Linked DNA regions of Macaca mulatta. The protein of the gene in region 2 purifies or fractionates together with the protein of the main gene of each other region. This does not show direct contact. Links are inferred from orthologs where the notes say so. Each region holds a gene or a part of one and is shown on either strand. Other genes may lie near its edges.

Evidence for each region.
Region 1: the proteins of TONSL (region 2) and ASF1B purify together in Homo sapiens (affinity purification with mass spectrometry; 5 studies listed by BioGRID and IntAct, counting the BioPlex papers as one, with this or other methods). This does not show direct contact. The link is inferred for Macaca mulatta from reciprocal best matches to the Homo sapiens genes TONSL and ASF1B.

Annotation. Positions count from the first base shown.
Region 1 is NC_133424.1:14,719,589-14,727,372, forward strand, and holds the start of ASF1B (histone chaperone ASF1B), read right to left. Parts: upstream 5,092-7,784; 5' UTR 4,479-5,091; coding exon 4,370-4,478; exon of another isoform or gene 4,270-4,369; intron 3,027-4,269; exon of another isoform or gene 2,032-3,026; intron 791-2,031; exon of another isoform or gene 493-790; intron 1-492. UniProt on the Homo sapiens protein: Histone chaperone that facilitates histone deposition and histone exchange and removal during nucleosome assembly and disassembly. Cooperates with chromatin assembly factor 1 (CAF-1) to promote replication-dependent chromatin assembly.
Region 2 is NC_133413.1:154,862,610-154,870,537, reverse strand, and holds the start of TONSL (tonsoku-like protein), read left to right. Parts: upstream 1-3,034; 5' UTR 3,035-3,151; coding exon 3,152-3,176; intron 3,177-3,290; coding exon 3,291-3,386; intron 3,387-3,556; coding exon 3,557-3,699; intron 3,700-4,268; coding exon 4,269-4,452; intron 4,453-4,778; coding exon 4,779-4,908; intron 4,909-5,192; coding exon 5,193-5,364; intron 5,365-5,453; coding exon 5,454-5,568; intron 5,569-6,671; coding exon 6,672-6,817; intron 6,818-6,907; coding exon 6,908-7,060; intron 7,061-7,301; coding exon 7,302-7,427; intron 7,428-7,588; coding exon 7,589-7,769; intron 7,770-7,928. UniProt on the Homo sapiens protein: Component of the MMS22L-TONSL complex, a complex that promotes homologous recombination-mediated repair of double-strand breaks (DSBs) at stalled or collapsed replication forks.

The DNA.
Region 1 (7,784 bases), on a different chromosome or scaffold from region 2:
CGGTTCTCCTGCCTCAGCCTCCTAAGTAGCTGGGATTACAGGCGCCTACCACCCTTCCCAGGTAACTTTTGTATTTTTAGTAGAGGCAGGTTTTCACCACATTGGCCAGGCTGGGCTCAAACTCCTGACCTCAGATGATCCGCCTGCCTTGATCTCCCAAAATGCTGGGATCACAGGCGTGAGCCACTGTGCCTGGCCTGTTGTTGTTTTTTGAGACAGAGTCTTGCTCTGTCACCCAGGCTGGAGTGCAGTGGCACAACCTCAGCTCACTGCAACCTCTGCCTCCCAGGTTCAAGCAATTCTTCTGCCTCAGCCTCCCGAGTAGCTGAGATTATAGGCGCCCACCACCAAGCCTGGCTAACTTTTGTATTTTTAGTAGAGATGGGGTTTCACCATGTTGGCTGGGCTGGTCTTGAACTTCTGACCTCAGGTGATCCACCTGCCTTGGTCTCCCAGAATGCTGGGATTATAGGCGTGAGCCACCGTGCCCAGCCTGTTTTTTTTTTTTTTTTTTTTTTGCCTTTGTTCATAATCAAAGATCAGTCCTGCTGCCATAACAGCTTTGTTAGTTCTGGGTCAGAACATCTGGCTTCTATGACTTACTCAACCAGTGTCTGTTGAATTTCTCAGCTAAACATGGAAGCATCTATTTCCAGATGTGGAAGATAAAAGTGCAAAGGGGGCTTGAGGCCCTTGAGAAATAGGAGTCACTCAACTGGGGCTTAGGAGTTAGGGTGGTTTTTTTTTTTTTTTTTTTGAGATGGGGTCTTGCTCTCTCACCCAGGCTGGAGTACAGTGGTGCAACCATGGCTTACGGCTTACTGCAGCCTTGACCTCCTGGGCTCATACAATCCTCCCATTTCAGCCTCCTCAGTAGCTGGGACCACAGGCACATGCAACCAAGTCCCATTAATTTTTTGATGTTTCTGTAGAGACAACGTTTTGCTATGTTACCCAGGCTGGCCTAAAACTCCTGGGCTCAAGAGAGCCTTCTTCCTTAGCCTCCCAAAGTGCTGGGATTACAGGAATGAGCCACCTCGCACAGCTGGATTGGGGGTTTTGTCAAGATTTTCAGTTGACACTGCTGAGAGTGAGCCAGATTCTCTTTTTCATGGAGAGGAGGCCAGAAAGAGGCAGAAAGCAAGCTGGCAGATCAGTCACAGAGAGCCCTAGGACTGGAAGAGCCAGGATTTCTCACTTGAGTTTCTTGAAGGAAAAGCTTTATCATCCGGGTGCAATTAACAATAGCATTCCCTGGCCGCGTGCTTGTGATTCAAAGTGTAATCCCAGCACTTTGGGAGGCTGAGGCGGGCAGATCACTTTCGGTCAGGTTTGAGATCAACCTGGCCAACATGGTGAAACCTCATCTCTACTAAAAATACAAAAATTAGCCGGGCATGGTGGCTCAAGCTTGTAATCCCAGCTACTTGGGAGACTGAGACCACAGAATCGCTTGAACTCAAGAGGTGGAGATTGCAGTGAGCTGAGATCGCGCCACTGTACTCTAGCCTGGGTGACAGAGTGAAACTCCATTTCAAAAAATAAATAAAATAAAATAATAATAATAATAATAGCATTCCCCTTTACTGTGTTTTGAGTATCCTGATTAGGCAATAAATTGTATGGTCATTCCTATCTATGCTCCACCTCTGAAATAGGGAATCCTTCTTCCTTTCTTTCCCTGGATCGGAGCAAAGATAAAGAACTTAGATTCAAAACTTCAGTGCCAATATTTCTACAAACTGGCTGGGTGACCCTGGATAAATCACTCCATTTCTATTAAAAGATGACCAGCAGAGGCTGGGCACGGTGGCTCATACCTGTAATCCCAGCATTTTGGGGGGCTGAGGCGGGCAGATCACCTGAGGTCAGGAGTTCGAGACCAGCCTGGCTAACATGGTGAAACCGCATCTCTACCAAAAACACAAAAATTAGCTGGGCGTCATAGCAGGCACCTGTAATCCCAGCTACTCGGGAGGCTGAGGCAGGAGAATTGCTTGAACCCGGGAGGCGGAGGTTGCGCCACTGCACTCCAGCCTGGGGGACGAGAGTGAGACTTCGTCTCCAAAAAAACAAAAAAAGGAGCAGCAGGTTGAATTTAGCCTTTCTGCCTCTAATTCTATAAATAAGTAAAGTCACAGGGCAGGGGCTTCCTAGGAGAAGTACCAGATAATGACCACACAACCATTTTTAAATGCAAGGAACACAAACAGGCTGATTGAAACCTGATCTCCTGCCGCCTGGGAGCTGGGAATCCCTCAACCTATTACTTCCTTCCATTTCCTCCTGGCTTTTAAATTAAATCTTATTCCACAGTGTCATTCTACACTTTATTTATTTATTTACACGCTGCCCTGTTCCAGAAAGGATTTAACTCGGCTTATTCTATAGTTAGCCACAAGTAGACTGCTTAATTTAAAAAGGAGCAAGACAGACCGGGGAGAGAGAGACCCACTGGCCTACCCGAAGCACATCCACATCTCACTCTATCAGCCCCAAGCTAGTCCAGGTGACCAGCTTTGAGGGCCAAACACCCACCTGCCCCCGAAAGGCACTAGTTAGCACATCCTGGCTTCACAGGCCCCCAGATCGCTACCTCCTCGGCTACTGCCTTTTCTCTTTTAACCACCAAGTAGAAAAATGGCCTAATGGAGTACTTCTTTCTGAAAGCAGGACTTGCATTTTAGTGGTGCCAAGGCTCCCTGGGTGACCTTAGATTTTGGATTTGTACAGGCCTTGACTTGAAAGGTCTTTTGCGCTTTGTGGCTCCTGTCTTCTCATCTGTGAGATGAGAGCCATGTCCACCTTTAAGTCACACAGATTAACAAGTACATCTGCAGAAGCACCTTGGAAAAGATGTACAGGAGGCTGTGACCTCCGGGCTCCAGGTGACTGTTTGAAGCTGGAGCCTGTCACAGCTCAGCCCAACCCACTCACCCTCCAGACTAGGTCAGACCATCAAAAGCAATGGAAGCTTGGCACTGATTATCCAGCTATATTAAAAAAAAAAAAGAAAAAAAAAAAAGACCGGGCGCGGTGGCTCACGCCTGTAATCCCAGCACTTTGGGAAACCAAGGTGGGTGGATCACTTGAGATCAGGACTTCGAGACCAGCCTGGCTAATGTGGTGAAACCCTGCCTCCAACTAAAAATACTAAAATTAACCGGGCATGGTGACAGGTGCTGGTAGTCCCAGCTACTCGGGAGGCTGAGGCAGGAGAATTGCTGAGATCGTGCCACTGCATTTCAGCCTGGGCAACAGAGCAAGAGTCTGTCTCAAAAAAAAAAAAAAAGAAAAAAGAAAAAAAAGAAGAAAGAAAAAGCGAGGGAAGAACTGCTGTAGTAACTCAGTTGGAAATGGGTGGGCAAACCTGGAGAAGCAGCTAATACCTGCCTGGCTATGCCAGCCCTCAGATCTCAGTGTGTTTATCCAAGTCCACAGAAGAGGGTGGGGAAGGGGAGCTGGGGAGACCAAGTTCCCCTCAAAGACGGTAGCATCCTTTCCCAGGGGGAGCTCAAGCATAGCAGGGGTTGGGCCCCAACGAAGGAGGAACCAGGTTCCAGGGTATGTGCAATGGCAGAAAAGCAACAGCAACTGGTGCGGGTGGGGTTGTTGAAATATTGGCAGGTTGGGGAGGGGATTGGTGGGAGACAAATGGGAAGATGGGGGCGAGGGCGGTCCTGAAAAGGGGTTGAGGGGTTTTCACAGCGAAAAACGGTTACTGGTGGGGAGCGTCTTCACGGTGAGGAGGGAAAGGAGCTTGCGTGAGAGATCTCCATAGGGAAAATAGCAGATGGCTAGGATTTCCCCCGGGGAAAATGGGAAGGGGCTGGACATTCGGAGTCTCCAGAGGGAAAATGGGAGGTGTGAGTATCTCACTAAAGAGGGAATAAGTGGGCAAAAATGGGTGGGTGGCTAAAGCGCGGGTCTTGCCACAGGGAAATCACGGTGGCTGAAGATCTCCGTGGCTTAAGAAATGGAGGCCAAGAAGATCTCTCCATGAAAACGGGTACCTAGGAAGACCTCCAGATTAAAAAGATGGATGAGGTTTCCCACGCGGGAAGTGGGGCTTGACTGGGGTTAATCTTTATGGGGAGGTCGGGGCGGGCAGTGGGGGAAGAGGTCACGGGGAGGTCCGAGTTAGCTAGCTGGGGGTCTCCACCCGGGAGGTCAAGGCGGGCAGTGGGAGAGGAGGTCACGGGGAGGTCCGAGTTGGCTGATGGCGGGGAGTCTCCACCCGGAGATCGGGATTGGCGGAAAGGGGACGAGGGGTTTCATGGGGGAGATCAAGTTGGCCATGGGAGCGCTTCTCCAAGGGGAGGCCGGGGTCGGCCCGGGGGTGGGGGTCCCCGCACGGGCCCAGCCTCACCGTCCGCCAGGGCTTCACTGCACTCGAAGCTGATCTCGAACCGGAAGGGGCTGTGGAAAGGGCTCGGGTTCTCCAGGACCGCCACGTTCAGCACCGACACCTTGGCCATCGCCTCGCCTCGCCTCGCCTCGCCGCGCCGCGCCGCGCCGCAGCAGGGGCAGGGGCAGGGGCAGGGCTGTGGCTGTGGCGGAGGCCGCGCCTGGGTCCGGTGAGTGGGGGGGCGTCAGTGGGGTACGGCAGACCAAGTCCACTCCCGCCTCTTCCCTCCGCGGACTGAAGTGCGCACCTAAACCGCGGACCGCCTTCAAATAGCCGGCCTCCGCCCTCTGGCCAATCACCGCCAACGCTCCCCTGGCGGCGCGCGCACCCCCTCAGCCAATCCTGGAGCGCCAGTCGGCGCGCGCCCAGACTCCCCGGACCAATCAGCGGAGCTCCCTCTCCGCGGCGTGTGAGGAGGGCGAAACCATCTCCAGGCTTCTTAGCGTGTCCGCTGGGAACCAATCCCCAGCGTCTCCGACTCGGATGTCAACGGCGGGAGTGGACGGAGTCAGAGCGCCGGACTCCTTCTGCCCAATCCTGAGGGTTCCCGCACCGGCGTAGCCCGCCCCTCGCCTCGCTTTTCCGGGAGCTGCATCCCGCACCGCGCAGCGCCGCCAACCGCCGAGCGGTGGCGCGCGGCGCTCGCTAAAGAAGGCGGGAAGGGCGGTGCTCGCACCCTCAGTGATTGGCAGGAGGGAGTGGGGCGGAGATAAAGAGGGTTTTCTGAGAGTTGATTGGCTGGATTGGTAATAGTGCCGGGAGCAGAATGAGGCTCAGCTGGGGATTCGCTGGAGAGAAGCGGAAGTCGAGCGCCGCCGCGGTGCTGGCGAGTGTGAAAAAAGAGGAGGAGGGTTGCGCCCTCAGCGTCTGTCAACAGGTGAGCGTAGTCTGGAGCTTTTCTGAGTGGCTCCTGACCCTTGAGGTCCAGCGGCCCTGGAGTCCGTTGTGAACGTTGCGAACGTTCGGAGTGGCGGTCACGCGGCGCGCTGGGACCTCGGGAGTCCAGCCCGGTTCGGATCCCGCTTTCGCCCACGAGGGGTTCGAATCCCGCTCTCGCCCCCGAGGGGTTTGGATCCCGCTCTCGCCCCCTCAAGGGCTCTTGGAAGGTTTCAAGCAGACGGTACTGAAAATGGGAGTTTCAGTTCGGGGGCAGACCAGTGTTCGAGTCCGGGCTCTGCTACTCAGCTCCTGAGGCAGCGTCTCTCCATTCAACGGGGGCAGTGGCAATTCCCTGACATGATTCATGACCGCACAATACATCCGGAAACTTCTCTCCGCCGCATCCCGTCGCCCCCGGCCTGGGAGACTCCAGGTCGCAGAGTCTCTGCCCCCACGGGCGATCAGCTCTACCCAGTGGAAAAATAATGCCAGCCGCGCACCTAATTTTACATTTTTTGGAAACCACTTTTTTTTTCTTTGAGACGGAATCTCGCTCTGTCACCCAGGCTGGAGTGCAATAGCGCGATCTCGGCTCACTGCAACCTCCACCTCCCGGGTTCAAGCGATTCTCCTGCCTCAGCCTCCTGAGTATCTGGGATTACAGGTGACCACCACCACAACCAGCTAAATTTTTTTCTGTATTTTTAGTAGAGACCGGGTTTCACCTTGTTGGCCAGGCTGGTCTCAAACGCCTGATCTCAAGTGATCCGCCCGCCTTGATCTTCCAGAGTGCTGGGTTTACAGGCATGAGCCACTGTACCCAGCCATATCTTTTTTTTTTTAATTTAAGATTTACTTTTTTTTTTTTTTTTTTGAGACGGAGTCTCGCTCTGTCGCCCGGGCTGGAGTGCAGTGGCCGGATCTCAGCTCACTGCAAGTTCCGCCTCCCGGGTTTACGCCATTCTCCTGCCTCAGCCTCCCGAGTAGCTGGGACTACAGGCGCCCGCCCCTGCGCCCGGCTAATTTTTTCTATTTTTAGTAGAGACGGGGTTTCACCATGGTCTCGATCTCCTGACCTTGTGATCTGCCCACCTCGGCCTCCCAAAGTGCTGGGATTACAGGCGTGAGCCACCACGCCCGGCCTAGTTTTTTTTTTTTTGTATTTTTTAGTAGAGACGGGGTTTCACCGTGTTAGCCAGGATGGTCTCGATCTCCTGACCTCGTGATCCGCCCGTCTCAGCCTCCCAAAGTGCTGGGATTACAGGCTTGAGCCACCGCGCCCGGCCAAGATTTACTTTTTTTTAAAAAAATTAAATTTTAGAGGCTGGGCATGGAGGATTTCTTGAGGCCAGGAGTTCAAGATCAGCCTGGGCAACATAACAAGACCTCATATTTACAAAAATATAAAAGAATAAGCCAGGTGTGGTAGTGCATACCTGTAGTCTCTGCTACTCCTGAAGCTGAGGCAGGAGGATCTCTTGAGCCCAGGATGCTCCAGCCACTGCACTCCAGCCTGAGTGTCAGAGTGAGATCCTGTCTCTCAAAATTAAAATTAAATTTTAGGCCGGGCGCGGTGGCTCAAGCCTGTAATCCCAGCACTTTGGGAGGCCGAGACGGGCGGATCACGAGGTCAGGAGATCGAGACCATCCTGGCTAACATGGTGAAACCCCGTCTCTACTAAAATATACAAAAAACTAGCCGGGCGCGGTGGCGGGCGCCTGTAGTCCCAGCTACTCGGGAGGCTGAGGCAGGAGAATTGCGTGAACCCGGGAGGCGGAGCTTGCAGTGAGCTAAGATCCGGCCACTGCACTCCAGCCTGGGCGGCAGAGCAAGACTCCGTCTCAAAAAAAAAAAAAAAAAAAAAATTAAATTAAATTTTAGAAAAGAAAGTTCAGTTTAGGTGTCTTGATAGCCACAGTTGAGTGCTCCTGAACCCCTGTGACAAGTGGCTCCTGTATTACTGGACAGTGAAGGTCAAAAACACATTTGACCAGGTCACTTCTCAGGATGAGAGCATTGTCTTCGAAACTATGCTTTGTCTCCTCTTAACTACCTAGCTCCAATTTCAAACCAGCCTAAGTAACCCTCTTTTTGTTAAAAATCTGACAGGCCACTCCCAGTGCAAAGCTCTGCCCAGAACCTCTTCTTCTGGGCTCTTGGCTGGCTTATGCCTTCTCGTCATTCAAGTCTCTGTTCAAATGTCCTCTCCCCAGAGAGGGCTTTCTAAGGGTGCCCTGGACAGTGTTCAAAATCACAGGCCGTAAGCCTGAATAGCACTGATCAAAGGCACTAGTATTTCTTACCTAGTCACCTCTGGAAACAATCCAGTTCCTGTGGGATTTTTTTTTTTTTTTTTAAACAGAGCTCTGTTTCCCAGGCTGGAGTGAAGTGGCATGATCATGGCTCACTGTAACTTGGAACTCTTGGGCTCAAGTGATCCTCCCACCTCAGCCTCCCAAGTAGCTGGGATCACCAGTGCGTGCCACCATGCCTGAT
Region 2 (7,928 bases):
TGGGTGCCTCAAGTCTGCAAACGCGGCCCAGTGTCCTCAGCAGGGCATCTGCCCCGTGACCATGACGTGCAGCAGCTGAAACTTACGACCTGGGGGAGCCAAGCACCTGGGAGGACCACAGTGTGTCCTCAGCCACCGGGCACTGGCACACAGGCTTCCCGTGGCATTGTCAATGTGGGCCACATGTGACGGGGCCGCCGCACACACGGCTTGTGTTCAACACCCTGAGACATCTTGGCATCCCGACCTGCTCCTTTGTCATCTCGGAGGATGGGGGCGTGGGGGTCCGGACTCCGCAGAAGTGGGGCGGCATAGCCTAACCCAGGCCCCACGTTTCTCCCTCCCTTGTCTCACCCCCACCCCCTGGTGAGCACCACATCCCTCAATTTGCCCAGAGTGAGACATTTACAAAAATAATAAAAATAGGCCAGGCACGGTGGGTCACGCCTATAATCCCAGCATTTTGGGAGGCCGAGGCAGGCAGATGACCTGAGGTCAGGAGTTTGAGACCAGACTGACCAACATGATGAAACCCCATCTCTACTAAAAATACAAAAATTAGCTGGGCGTGGTGAGGGGTGTCTGTAATCCCAGCTATTCAGGAGGCTGAAGCAAGGAGAATCGCTTGAACCCAGGAGGCGGAGGTTGCGGTGAGCTGAGGTCCTGCCATTGCACTCCAGCCTGGGTGACAGAGTGAGACTCTATCTCAAAAAACAAAAACAAAAACAAAAATTAGCTGGGCGTGGTGGTGGGCATCTGTAATCCCAGCTACTCAAAAGGCTGAGGCAAGAGAATCACTTGAACCTGAGAGAAGGAGGTTGCAGTGAGCCCGGATCACACCATTGTACCCCAGCCTAGGCAACAAGAGAAATTGGATTGTCTCTGAAGGGGAATTGGGCTTCCAGGAGCTGGGCTGTCCTGTTGACCCTGGGGCTGGAGGGGATACTTAATCGTTGTCTAGGTAGCTCAGGGAGCCCCTCTGGTATCCAAGTCACCCTGTCTTCAGCTGTTCACCTGAGTCTTCTGCTTCTGAATCTCACTCTTCACTCCCTCCCTCGAGCCTCACTGTGCCCCTCGCACACCTCACCAGCTTGCCCACCAAGTAGTTGCCTTGGCTCAGAGCCATGCTTTGGATGGGTAAGGGGTTGGCAGTGCAGGCCTCCACAACCTGTCCTCACACCCAAGCCTGCCTGGATTTCCCGCCTCCTGCACCTTGGCCTGCACAGGTGTGCAGGCTTGGCCTAGTCCCACCCTCGGTGCCTTGGAGGCACCGAGGCCCAAATCTGCCCAGTCCTGGGGCCACGCCAGGTGGCAGCCTTTACTGGACCCAGGGACCTGTCAGTGCGTCATGGCACTCTCTCCCCAACAGACCTCTCTGGCGGAGTTTTGCCCAACGACTTGCTGTAATTACGATGGAAATTAACCCATCTATCTTCCACTCCTTCTGAGGCTCCTCAGTTGGACTCTGTGCACCCAGCCTCCTCTGGGACCTCTGGAAAACCAGTCACCGCACCTGAGTGCAGTGCTGGGTGTGCTGTGTAGCCGGGAGTCAGAGACCCAAGGCATGGCAGGCATTTGGTCCTCAAGGTCATGGGGGACAGCAAGGGTATTTTAGAGGCCTGGGTGCCCCATATCATAGAACTCTAGACATAATTTTGCAGTCGTTTTCTCTCTCTCTTCCTTTTTTTTGAGATGGAGTCTTACTCTGCCGCCCAGGCTGGAGTGCAGTGGTGCGATCTCGGCTCACTGCAAGCTCCGCCTCCCAGGTTCACACCATTCTCCTGCCTCAGCCTCCCGAGTGGCTGGGACTACAGGCACCCGCCACCATGCCCGGCTAATTTTTTGTATTTTTTGTAGAGACAGGGTTTCACCGTGTTAGCCACGATGGTCTCGATCTTCTGACCTCGTGATCCGCCCGCCTTGGCCTCCCAAAGTGTTGGGATTACAGGCGTGAGCCCAGGAAGAGTGCGCCTGGCCCTCTCTTCCTCTTTCTTTTCCTCCCTCCCTCCTTTCTTTTTTTTAAATAAAAATGGGGTATCAGGCCGGACGTGCTGGCTTATGCCTATAATACCAGCACTTTGGGAGGCCGAGGTAGGCGGATCACGAGGTCAGGAGTTTGAAACCAGCCTGGCCAGCATGGTGAAACCCCGTTTCTACTAAAAATGCAAAAATTAGCCGGGCATGCTGGCACATGCCTGTAGTCCCAGCTACTTGGAAGGCTGAGGCAGTAGAATCGCTTGAACTCAGGAGGAGGAGGTTGTGGTGAGCTGATATCGCACCATTGCACGCCAGCCTGGGCGACACAGCGAGACTCACACACACACACGCACACACACAAAAAGATGGGGGTCTCACTATGTTGCCCAGGCTGGTCTCGAACTGCTAGGCTCAAGCGATCCTCCTGACTGCACCTCCCAAGGCGCCTGGATTACAGTGCGGGCCAGTGCGCCCGGGCTACTTCTGCAGCTTAAGCGCAGGTTCACTGACTCTTCCGAGAATACAGCTGACATATACGTTGCTGAAACGGTACTTGTTCACTACGGAAAGCACATTCCCCTACCAGAACATTCCTTGGGGCCGAGTCCCCAAATGTGACCCACTGCGTTCTGTGGAGGAGGAGCGCACCTTATTCCGTCCCCACAGCCAAATACTCGTGAACTTATCGTCAGTCTTCTATCTGGACCCTACGTGCGTTTTTCACAGTTGCGCGTGTGAGCAGGTTGTGTGTGAATTTCAGGAGGAACTGGGGCGGCGGCACAGCTCGTCCACCTTGAGAGGCGCGGGCGGCACGCGGGCTGCAGTTCAGAAGAGCCCACCCAGGGCGCGCTGCGACCCCGGCCTCCCGTGTCCCCGCCTCCTGCGAGGAGGAACGGGGTCCCCATCAGGCACTCCCCGGGCAGGGCAGAGGGCTCCACGCGCGGGCCAACCCCGGCGTCCGGGAAGATAACTCCTCGGGTCGACGCCCTAGTTGTCGCCGCGTCCCCGCCCCAGCTCCTCCCACACTAGAACTTCGAGGATGTCGCGGGCGGACCGTACTTCCCAGCATGCCCCGCGCCCACCGCCGCCGTCGAGGGGCGGGGCCTACGTGTCGGCGGCGAGGGGCGGGGCCGCGGCGCAGCGCGGGAAGTCCAGATCCCGCGGCGACCCGAGCATGAGCGTGGATCGCGAGTTTCGCCGTGAGTCCCTCGGGGGCCCCTTGCGCCGGGGGCGCGGAGGCTAGGGAGGGTCTGGGACTCGGCCCCGGCCCCGAATCCCGCCGCGGAGGCTCAGCTCTCCTCTTCCTCCGACAGAGCTGAGCAAGGCGAAGGCCAAGGCGCAGAGGGCCGGGCAGCGGCGCGAGGAGGCAGCGCTGTGCCACCAGCTGGGGGAGCTCCTGGCCGGCCATGGTGAGCGCTGGGACCAGGAAGCGGGGTGCACGGCCGGGGGCTGGGGGCTGGGGGCTGGGGCCCGCGCCGGGGTCGGGGGCCGGGGGTCGACGGGCTCTTCCCGCAGACGCCGCCCCAGGTCCGCCCTCGCACCCGCGACGCCTGCCAGGCCGTGCTGTGTCCCCGCCTAGGCCGCTACGCCGAAGCCCTGGAGCAGCACTGGCAGGAGCTGCGGCTCCGGGAGAGCGCTGACGACCCCCTGGGCTGTGCCGTGGCCCATCGCAAGATCGGAGAGCGCCTGGCCGAGATGGAGGACTACCCGACTGCCTTGCAGGTGCGGGCGCCCTCACTGGCCTCGCCCAGCCCGGTCGGCCTCTGTTTGGAGCCCTTTTCTGAGGAGGGAGGCCCGGTCTTCACCGTCAGGAGCCTCGGGCTGGAAGGGACACCTGGCCTGACGCAGCCTTAACTTCACCGCGCCGGCCCAGTCCTCCAGTGGGGACCCCCCAGCCTTTCCTGGGACTGGGGCAGGAGTAGGTTTCCTGGCACCAGAAACCATTAATGAATGTTATTTTAGCTGTGTTTGTGTTGGGGGTGGTCAGGCCCCAGCCCGAAAGCTCTCCCTGACCCTGGCTGCTGGAGGCAGGACTGCAAACCCCCACCCCACCAATCCCCAGCCGCCCCTCCCCACGTGACAGCGTTGGCTGCATACAGCGTGAAGCCACTGTCACCACAGAGAGGCCTTGGCATGCAGAGGAGGGGCATGTGGCCGACCTTGGCCTGCTCTGTGGGGGTTAAGGGGAGCAGGAGTCTTTCCTTAGCAAGAACAGGGTCTCTGGGAATCTGGCAGCGCTGGTTTGCTTGAGGCGGGGTCAGCTCACAGCAGTGACTTCCTTCCACACTCAGCACCAGCACCACTACCTGGAGCTAGCACATTCCCTGCGCAACCACACGGAGCTGCAGAGGGCCTGGGCCACCATCGGCCGCACCCACCTGGACATCTATGACCACTGCCAGTCGAGGGATGCTCTGCTGCAGGCACAGGCTGCCTTTGAGAAGAGCTTGGCTATTGTGGATGAGGAGCTGGAGGGTGGGCAGGCCCCTTCTCGTTTTCTGCCTCCTGAACTGCAGGCTGAAGAGGCTGCAGCCCAGCACCCCCGCAGCCTCCTTGGGCGATCTCGTCTTCTGGGGCCCTCCCTTTGCAGGGCTCTTGTGTGAGGGGTGCATGCCCTCCGCAACCTTTTCCCTGGAGATCCTCGGCTCTTTATCCACTCTGTGCTCTGTCTGCAGCAGGACCCTTGCCCCAACATCGGGAGGAGGGAGAGGGTAGGAGAGGCACTGCACAGGCCCCAAATGGGGCCCAAAGCTGGAAACCCCATGTGGGGAGAAAGTGGCTGAGTGGGGGGCATCTTCCAGGGACACTGGCTCAGGGAGAGCTGAATGAGATGAGGACCCGCCTCTACCTCAACCTGGGTCTTACCTTTGAGAGCCTGCAGCAGACAGCCCTGTGCAACGATTACTTCAGGAAGAGCATCTTCCTTGCGGAGTAAGGCCCCACCCCACCCCAGGAGAGAGTGGAGTCCCTTGTTCCTGGAGGAAGTAGTTAGGGGAGTATTTCTCCCAGGGTCCTCCTGAGAGAGCACCCTGGCTGGGCCTCATCCCCCACCTCTCACACCTGTGCCTCACACTGGGCGAAGACCAGGCATGGTTAGGGCCCTGAGACCATAGCATGGCAGGGCTGGGGCCTGTGTGGCATCAGCAGCTATCACCGGTGGGACGCTCCTGGGTGCTCAGGAGCTCGTAGGTGCTCAGGCCATCACTCCTCTGCAGGCAGAACCACCTTTACGAGGACCTGTTCCGCGCCCGCTACAACCTGGGCACCGTCCACTGGCGCGCGGGCCAGCACTCCCAGGCTATGCGCTGCTTGGAGGGTGCCCGGGAGTGTGCGCACACCATGAGGAAGCGGTTCATGGAGAGCGAGTGCTGCGTGGCCATCGCACAGGTACCCGCTGTGTGTGGTTCCGAGCTCAGGCTCCTGGAGACTTGGGCCTTGGGGATTTTGCAAAAACCGTGCTGTCCTTTGCTCTCCAGGTCCTCCAAGACCTGGGAGACTTTCTGGCTGCCAAGCGAGCCCTGAAGAAGGCCTACAGGCTGGGCTCCCAGAAGCCTGTGCAGAGAGCAGCCGTCTGTCAGAACCTCCAGCATGGTGAGCCTGGGGCCGGGGTGGGGCCCAGGGGGTGTGGGGTGGGGGGGGGTGAGGGGGGTGAACCTCCCGCATGGTGAGCCTGGGGCCAGGGTGGGGCCCCGGGAGTTGTGTGCAGGGGCGAGCCCAGGGGGGCGTGGAGTCCTGCCAGGTGTGTACGGAGCTCCCTCCCTCACAGAGGAGGCATGAGCACCTGTCCTTGGAGGCAGCAGCTTCCGCAAGAGGGACAGGTGCCCTAGTTCCTGACAGGAGAAAACCCCCGTTTTTCTCTGAGCTCAACACAGTGTGTCAGGGGCACTGAAAGGGCGGCCAGGAGACCAGTTGGGCTTTTATTTTGCAGCCACCATCTTCACTGGCAAACTGGAGACAGTAGTTGCTCCCCTAGCTTCCCGGGTGGAACAGCAGGTGGCACGCATGTGGTCCAGGAGTGCTGATGGCCGAGACCACCACTGGAGGTTGGCAGCAGTCAGCCCTTGCTATGAGCCAGGCACCATCCAAGTTTTTTTTTTTTTTTTTTTTTGAGACGGAGTCTCGCTCTGTCGCCCAGGCTGGAGTGCGGTGGCACTATCTCGGTTCACTGCAAGCTCCGCCTCCCAGGTTCACGCCATTCTCCTGCCTCAGCCTCCCGAGTAGCTGGGACTACAGGCGCCCGCCACCATGCCCGGCTAATTTTTTTGTATTTTTAGTAGAGACGGGGTTTCACTGTATTAGCCAGGATGGTCTTGCTCTCCTGATCTCATGATCTGCCTGCCTCAGCCTCCCAAAGACCTAGGATTACAGGCGTGAGCCACTGTGCCTGGCCCCAAGTTTTTAAGTGTGTTAGTTCTTGTGACCCTTGAGACCAGTTCCCAAGATAGACCCTCCTGTTAACCCCCACATAAACAGGCAGGCAGAGGGAGAGGGTAGAGGGGCCACGACAGGGCTCAGCAGCAACAGCTGGAAGAGGCCGAGGAGCCTGTCCGTGAGGCCTGTTGGGGGATGTTCCAGGGAAGGCTGTGACTTCAGCTCTGAACTCAAGGGGGTTGTTAGAACCCCGAGTGGCCAGATGGTAGAGCTGGGGTCAGGGCCTCCTGTGTTGCCCTCCTGCATGAACCTCTTCTTGGCAGTGCTGGCAGTGGTCCGACTGCAGCAACAGCTGGAAGATGCCGAGGGAAGTGACCCTCAGGGCGCCATGGCCATCTGTGAGCAGCTAGGTGACCTCTTCTCCAAGGCAGGAGACTTTCCCAGGGCAGCTGAGGCTTACCAGAAGCAGGTGTGTGGCCCCGGCTGGGTGGGAGGGCCAGTGAGGTTGGCGAGGCCTGGCCAGGGTGGCAGCCCCCAGCCTCACTGGCACTGCCCCCAGCTACGTTTCGCTGAGCTGCTGGACAGACCGGGTGCCGAGCGGGCCATCATCCACGTGTCCCTGGCCGCCACACTGGGAGACATGAAGGACCACCGTGGGGCCGTGCGCCACTATGAGGAGGAGCTGAGGCTGCGCAGCGGCAATATGCTGGAGGTGAAACCCTGGCTCCCCACCCGAATGCAGGTTCACCCATGTCTCTGCCTCAGGACTGCCGTTCTCAGGGTGGCCATGTACAGACGTCCTTACTGGACAGGCAGCTCCTTCCTAGGACCGTCCACCCTCAGCACCTGGGAGGCTGGGCTCCCATTCTGTGTGGGCAGCCGGGGACGCTTGACTGGGGCCTGTTGGACACGGAGAGCAGCAGCCCTCGACCCCGTCCTTCCTCCTGCTCCAGGAGGCCAAGACCTGGCTGAATATCGCACTGTCCCGTGAAGAGGCTGGCGATGCCTACGAACTGCTGGCCCCATGCTTCCAGAAGGCGCTCAGCTGTGCCCAGCAGGCCCAGCGGCCCCAGCTGCAGGTACAAGAGCCCGTCCCACCCACACTGGCTCCCCAACAAGCCCAGCATCGTTGCAGCCTGCCTGCTCCTTGTCCCACATCCCCATCTTTCTCTGCATCCACAGCCCCCAGCTCTGCTTGCCACACCCCCAGTCCTGAGCCAAGCATCCCTCTGCTCCTCAGAGGCAGGTCTTGCAGCACCTCCATACCGTGCAGCTGAGGCTGCAGCCCCAGGAGGCCCCTGGCACCGAAACCAGACTACAGGAGCTCAGTGTAGATGAAGATGAAGATGAGGAGGAGGAGGCGGCAGCCACAGCGGAGTGCAAAGCCCTGGAGGCCAGTGAGGTGGAGCTCTCAGAGAGCGGTGAGGGCCGGCAGCACCTGGCATTTTCCTGGGCCTGCTCCGGGCCGGGCTGGAGAGGGGTGTGCTGTGCTGCCGTGGAGCAGGCTCAGGGCTTGTGGTGGGAACAAGCCAGGACGGCCGGTGCTTTCCCGGAACGGGACAGAGAAGGTGGTGACCTGC